Linked DNA regions of Arabidopsis thaliana. The protein of the gene in region 2 interacts with the protein of the main gene of each other region in a pairwise test. Each region holds a gene or a part of one and is shown on either strand. Other genes may lie near its edges.

The links. Proteins that work in one complex are often made in the same cells at the same time.
Region 1: the proteins of BRM (region 2) and HB53 interact in a two-hybrid assay, tested with the Arabidopsis thaliana proteins (one large-scale study listed by BioGRID).

Annotation. Positions count from the first base shown.
Region 1 is NC_003076.8:26,632,195-26,635,951, forward strand, and holds HB53 (homeobox 53), read left to right. Parts: upstream 1-2,080; 5' UTR 2,081-2,211; coding exon 2,212-2,667; intron 2,668-3,337; coding exon 3,338-3,568; 3' UTR 3,569-3,691; downstream 3,692-3,757. UniProt on the Arabidopsis thaliana protein: Probable transcription factor that may play a regulatory role in auxin/cytokinin signaling during root development.
Region 2 is NC_003071.7:18,920,573-18,924,329, reverse strand, and holds the start of BRM (transcription regulatory protein SNF2), read right to left. Parts: upstream 1,798-3,757; 5' UTR 1,130-1,797; intron 1,054-1,129; 5' UTR 1,027-1,053; coding exon 853-1,026; intron 556-852; coding exon 1-555. Other genes in the region: AT2G46000 (LDL receptor wingless signaling/trafficking chaperone), read left to right, coding at 2,283-2,600, 2,741-2,869, 2,957-3,136; AT2G45990 (ribosomal RNA small subunit methyltransferase G), read right to left, coding at 3,287-3,387, 3,466-3,542, 3,644-3,706. UniProt on the Arabidopsis thaliana protein: ATPase subunit of a multiprotein complex equivalent of the SWI/SNF complex that acts by remodeling the chromatin by catalyzing an ATP-dependent alteration in the structure of nucleosomal DNA.

The DNA.
Region 1 (3,757 bases), on a different chromosome or scaffold from region 2:
TGATTCCAACTTATTATCTTTTCTTCTTTTTGTTTTTCAACCTGCAAGGAACGTCCCAGTAGATAAGTTGAATTTTATCCTCGTCCCTCTTTGAAGTCCACGTGAACTTCACGTGCATAGCCGTCACTCAATGTCGGAATACATTGTTTTTATTTTTCTTCTTCTGTGAATTATTTAGTTCTTCCTAATTATATACCTTCCCATGATTCGTGTTCGTTGCCCACACATTACTATCTCTCTTTTACTCACCTAAAAAGGCACACTATAACCTTATGTATCAAGTGACCGTTTTTTAAGATGAAAAGTGTTGACTGCTATATTTTATCATATACTATTTTAAACCAATCAGTCGTGTCAATTCTGTATATATGTTTTTTTCTCCTTTAGAAGCTAGGGTTGAACACCTTACAAATCGAAAGCAAGGCATTGTAAAAAACCACGTACCCTTCTACTAATTAAGCCTTCCACAAATTTAATATAATTTTAGTGTTCGAATGGTGATAAAGGATAGTGCAGAACATGATGCTAAAAACGAAAGCAATATATGGTTATGATAGAAGAGATTGACCAAAACATGTTGAACAAACATAATAGAATTATTAACATAACATGTGTTCAACTCATTTTATTGGTTATTTTGTGCAAGTGTGGTGTTTTAAATTTTTCTTTAAACATGCATTCCAAATTCATGTGAGCGAAGGTGTGAAAGCTTTAATGTATTTGCTGCTTGTGGCCAATCTTTAATTATTCCACCACATTATTCATTCCCTTAAATGTACTAAACAAATTGTAAGGAATATAATTTAAGGTTTTTGGTACGAAGTAATGAAGGCATGAAAGCGTTTATGTCTTTGCTCCTTATGGCCAATCTTTATCCTCCCGTTGTTGTGTCTCAAACTCGGAACCTTAACTTCCTCCTTGATCAAGAAATACTAGTTCAACTATAACAGACGTATATATAATTCTCATACACCAAAATAGGACCTTAATCTCAAAGACCTGCAACGTCGATGATACGTAAGTTGTCTTGTGTCAACACATTACATGATAATCTATGGCTGAAGAAATTTCGTTAAAATGGTACAAAGAGAAGGGTTTAAAAATATGTTTCGTATACGTACAAAGTAAATTAAAGCAGGCTATGTTCAATTAATCGCATGGTGTGGAATATTATAACACTGTTGAAGACGACAAAATAGAGTACAATGTTTAAATATAAAGAAAGAAAACTCGGGAAGATTCGTGGTTATAGACTCCTAGTCACTGGTGTAAAATAATAATCTATAGGAAAGATGGGAAAAAGAGGAGCACACTGCTTTTCAAAGGAAAATGAGTGGTCTCGAGCTCCGAAAACAAAGAAAAAATAACCTACAAAATTGACTAATTAACAGTAAAAACTAAAATAACCAAAGACAAAGACAGTTTATGTTATATTATACATATATACCCAATAGTTATCCACAAATGATCGGATCGCTTGTTTACTACTTCCTCCAAAATTTGGTCATCTTCGGGATCCACACCACGTCTCTTGTCCAGAATTGTCGTCAGCCACCTTATTTTTATGTTTACTTATTCTGATGGGATGCGACAATGTTTTCGTTACATGAAGTTCTTAAAAATATCTGATCAAAAAGAATGAAGCTCTTAAATATTTTGAAACATAACCAACAAACATTTCTTTTATATAAAGTTAAAATGAAAATTTTAAACATCCAAAAATTTCCATCAAATATATCTTGCCTTAACAAAACAGATACATGTTTTCTTGTTGGATAAATTATTTCATAATTTGGATCAAGTGAAACAAAATGTTTCTCCACTTTTAACTACGTTTGTACATTGTGCAAAAATCTAGAGAACAAGTATATCTGGAAGAAATGTAACCATGCAAGTGTATTCTCTCATTTAGGGTAAGTACATCCCATTAAACATAAAAATAGAAAAGTATATGTATATCCAATTCGTCTCATACATGCATACCACACAATTAATGATTCTTTATTCAATTACATCTTTTTACATAAAAACAGATGGCATAAGTGTAAATAAAGGGAAAGACGACCCAAGAATAAGGGGTCACAGTCGTTGAGGTTATAAAAAGCATCTCATAGGACTCAACCTCACCAAAGTCATATCCTATTGCATCACTCTCCTTTAAACACAGTCAGAGAAAACAGCAACTCTTGTCTGAAAAACTAGAGAGAGAAAATGGATCATGGTAGGTTAATGGATGATCAAATGATGCTAGGCTCTCAAGTGTACCCCTACACGACCCAACCCCAAAATTCACACTGCATCATCGTTAACCAGATCGATGGAGGCGAAGAATCAAAACCGGTGAAGCGGAGGAGGAAGAGGAGGAGTAAAGGTTCATCAGCCACCAACGAAGAAGACGTGGCGGAGATCGGAGGGATGTTGAGGAAGAGGAAGTTGACCGATGAACAAGTGAACATGCTCGAATATAGCTTCGGGAACGAGCATAAGCTGGAGTCAGGGAGGAAGGAGAAGATCGCCGGAGAGTTAGGTCTTGACCCGAGACAGGTGGCTGTTTGGTTCCAGAACCGCCGTGCACGTTGGAAGAACAAGAAACTAGAGGAAGAGTACGCCAAACTCAAAAACCACCACGACAACGTCGTACTCGGCCAATGCCAACTCGAGTCTCAGGTATAAATTTTATGTTTTTTCACTATAAAACAGAGTAAATTTGGTGATTCTTAATTTCATGTTGCTTGTTTTTTCGAAAGATGAGTAATTTTATCCGTTCTTAGATAATTAACATATAGTTTATTCGTCAATTAGTATATTTTGAGTATTTATTACACATATGTGAAATGTAGTTGAATCGAATTTTACAACTAGTGAAAATCCGGTAGCTAGCTAAAAAACACATGTTTGGGACCACACCACAAATATAATAAAGTGGGATATTTCGTCATCTCATTCTTATCCACCATTAAAAAAAAAAAAAAAGTTCCGTCCGTACAATCTCAGTTGGGCTCATGAGTGGCCCATTTACAGTTGCCCACTCATTTAATGCCACGTAAAAAACCCTTCTCTGCATTTGGGCTGACATGCCAGAAAATATCCTCCTCATTTGATGAATAACAAAATTAATTTATAACAATTTTTTTCTTTTGACATTAACTTTGCATTGTATTAAAACACTATTTATTTCACTGAATTGGTAGTAAAATATATCTTTTTTTTTTGGTTAACAAAATTACTCTTATTTTTGTTTATCTAGGTACTAAATAAGAGTTTTATATAAGATTTTCTTCTTCACATAGTGATTAACTATGGTATTAACTAATGATGTATTTTTTTGCTGTTGTAGATATTGAAACTAACAGAACAATTGAGTGAAGCTCAAAGTGAAATTCGAAAACTGTCGGAACGACTTGAAGAAATGCCAACCAACAGTTCAAGTTCATCGCTTTCTGTTGAAGCCAACAATGCACCAACTGATTTCGAGCTTGCCCCGGAAACTAATTATAACATCCCGTTTTATATGTTAGATAATAATTATTTACAAAGCATGGAGTATTGGGATGGTTTGTATGTATAATCAGTTTATCAACTAAATATCTCGTGCTTTATTGATGCAACTCATGTTATTATAAGTAATGTAGAAATAGGTGTTGGTGAAACGGTTGTAATTATGTGTTGTTTTCAGTATTTATTTTAATATATTACTTTGTTTATTATCACTTTGCTTCTTCTAGTTCCATATATATAAATCTTTCAAAAAAAAAAA
Region 2 (3,757 bases):
AAGCTGCTGAGCCTGTGGTGCTTGCATTGGCCTTATCATATTTCCAGGCATTAGTTGTCCGGTACCCACCTGCTGCTGAGGATGAGATTTTGTTTCGTTCCTTTGCTGAGAACTTGATTCAGTCTGCCTTTCACCGCGAGCAAACTGATCGCCCGATGGCTTCGATGATGAGGCCTGGGGCTGACTAGACGGATTCAAGTCTTGCATATTCAACATTCCCATTCGTGCATCTTGATCCTTTCCCACACTTGATGAACCCACCATTCCCATCCTAGCTTGCTGCTGTGCTTTTTGATGCTGAGCCTGCATAGCAAACTGAATATACGCTTGCTGCATTGGATTAAAATTTTGCTGGCCCTCTTGGGTAGAAGAACCCTGTTGTTGTTGTTGTTGTTGTTGCTGAGGAGACTCAAAAAAATTTCTAGACTGCTGAGGCATTTGCATAGAGCCCGGAGACGAAGCAAAGTTGCCACCGCCCATCATTCCCTGAACCCCACCAGGTTGATATGCAAACATATTTTCGTTTGTATCTGAGTTTCTGTGCTGCTGCTGCTGCTGCCATATCAGAAGCACGATAATAATTAGTAACAATCAAATGAACAATAATCCACAATTCAGAGCAACTATATATATATGTGGAAATGAACAAAACATGTTCTCCAAGTGGCTACCATTACACAACTTCAATTTAAAGATATTGGTTACTTTCCTTTTACACAGAATTGATAAACAGTCAAGTCCCACTAAAATTGAATAGCCGCAAGTTTAACAGACAAACATTAGCCACTACAAACAAGCATTTTATCCCTCCTAAGTCATAACGAACCAAACAGAGACTTGAGAATCCTTTACCTGCCTAGACGCCAGCTGCTGTTGCTGTTGCTGCTGTTGCTGTTGCTGTTGCTGCTGCTGCACAGATGAAGAGGAAGAAGAAGGAGAAGCAGCGGATGACGTGGAAGCAGTCCGACCAGCCGGACCCATGGCCGGATTCCGAGCGGGCCCTCCGCCACTGCCTCCAGATTGCATGCAATTGGTCGAAGAATCTGACAGTCACTACACTGGAAACAATTAAACCCAATGCACAACGAAGCTAGTAGAAGAAGACAAAAAAAAAGTGGAAAAACCCTACCCAATAAATCCCTACAAAAGAATTCGGACAGCGAGAGCCCCCGAGGCAAAGGAAAAAACCTCAAATAGCAACAGAGAGAGAGAGAGAGAGAGAGAGAGAGAGACACTGAGTCGGTTGAAGCGCACACACCTTTCTATTTCTCTCTCTTCTTAGATTTGCATCGAATTTGGGGGAAATCGGAAAACGAAAGTCGCGGGGGATGCAACGGTATAAACTCAGATCCTTTGAGATGGCTTCTCGAAAAATAAAAATAAAAAGGGAGGGAAACGAAATCCACGGAATCGATGATCGATTCCTCTCTTTGAGAAATTCACGCAGATCAGAAATTTCTCGCAGTCAAACCCTAGCTGGCTTCTTACTTCCCTTTTTCTTTTTTTTCTCTTTCTTTTTTTTTTTGGAAGGGGCATTAATTTTATTTTATTTTTGATTGTAGGTCCCACGCCTCGATACAGTTGGAACACGGAAAATGCGTTTCACGAGGCCACCCCTCGGTTTTCGCTTTTATTACCACAAGTACCCTTCCTTATACAAGTCAGTTGCACAAATGACGATGAGACACGTGTGAATTTACCAAACGTTCCTTTTGTTAACCAAATGGAATGACTTTTAATTTTTCCATGTTTATTTCAAATATTTGTTTCCGTATTGGGTAATAAGAATACTAAAATGATACTACTATAAACAAATTTGGAAATCAAAAAAAGAAAAAAAAAAACAAATTTGGAAATCAAATTAGACTTATGTTTGTTTTACTTGATTAATTAATTTGAATTTAAAATTAGACAAATTTTGACTTTTAGTTTTACCTTCTGTAGTGCAGTAGTAGATTAGAGAGAATCATACAATTACCCTTGTTTTATTTACGGTGCAACCTCGTGTCGTTTTCATCTTTCAGCCTTGATATGCTTGCCATCTTTACGTCAATAGTTGGCACGCAGTTCTATTTTAAGATAGAAAAACGGCGAACAGTTTTGAACCAGCAGGTTCAGTTTATGTCGTTAATAGTTTTTTTTCCCGAAACAAGTAAAAAGTCACATTATTATGGTTTTGTGACTTGTGTGCGAGTTTGTAGAAGCTTTACTGATATAGAAATGCCGTTGCCGATGCAGTCTCTCTTCCTCTGTTTCTGATTCCTGAATAAATTTGTTAAACGATGGAGAAGATCGTTCGTTCTTCTTCGCTGATTCTACTTGTTGGCCTCCTTCTTTTTATGAATTTTCACGGATTTGTCCGGATCGCCGAAGCAACGAAGCGACGGATCGAGATCTCCGATGACCTAGACGACGTTGAAGACAATGAAGAAGACGAGTCATGGAAAGAGTGGGGGAAGAAAGCAACGACCCCGGAATTTGATCCGCCTCCGGATTTCACCAATATGGGATTCGATCAGATCCAAGAGGAAATGGCTAAACGGACTTTTGGAACCGTCGTCGGTTTCGTCAAGCTCCGGTTAGGCGTCCCCCGTACCAAGGTAAACTAAAATCCAAATCGAATCGTGAATTTGGGGTCCTTAAGTTATAGTTTCAGTTACTGTTCAAAATTCTCTGAATTCGATATGGGTCCAGTTGCTTCAGGGGATTGAATAGTGATCTGTTTATATGTTTCAATCAGGATGTGGTGATTGATATTGCTATGAAATGGACAAAAGTTTTAAGAACAGGAGGGATAGGAGTAAGATTCATGGCTGTAGATCGAAGCACAGTGATGTTCAATATGCAAAATGGGAAGCTTGTGACTGAGGTAAAAGCCACAGAAAACACACAATGCTGAAAACTTTGTTTAGTGGATTAGTCAAAATCTAACATCACAATCATATCTTTCAATTAGCTAAGGGAATTCGTGCTGAGCCAAGAAGAAGCTTACGAGGTCAAGATAGGGAAGCAAGAGTTTAGAAGACCTGGAGATCCTCCATTTGAAGATGTCTTTGACAAATTTCAAGCTGAGCAAAGGAAAGATCACGAAGATGGTGATGGTAACAAGAATGATCTTACTAAGGATGAATTATAGGTCACAGAAAAGCTTCTATAATGGGTAGTACTGAAAGTTCAACTCTTTTACTGAATCTTACCTAAACATGTTTGGTTTTTAGTTTCCGTTGAATGCCGTAGAATACAATAAAGAGGAAAGCTTTGTTTCTTTTCCAATGAGTATATGCACTCATTTAAGCTTATTGCTAAACGTGGAGAGCTCAATAACCTGAATCCTGGGAATGCCTGCTGCTTCAGCTCTCTCTTTCTCAGTGTTGTATCCCCAGGTTCCTGTTTTGAGATAAGTTTTTGTCAGAATAACCAATAAGGGGAACCAGAAGTGATGATATGGGAGAGGGAAGAGACCACCTAGGTATAAACTCCATTTGTCTAATTCAGGCTCTTTTATGACATTTTTCAGCGTTGCGAGTCTGTCTTCCACGAAACTGGCCAAATTAAAAATGCATAGGGATTGTAAACTAATGGTGACCATTACCAAGTCATGCAGATAGAAGAATTATTGATAGATATATAGAACGTGAGTTACTGCAGCGTCAAGCCCTGATGTTCTGGTTTATCTTGAAGTAGCTTTAGAACTTCCACCTTTGGCCTGATGGGATATCACACAGAAAATAAAACTAGATTAAGGGTAGAATCTGGA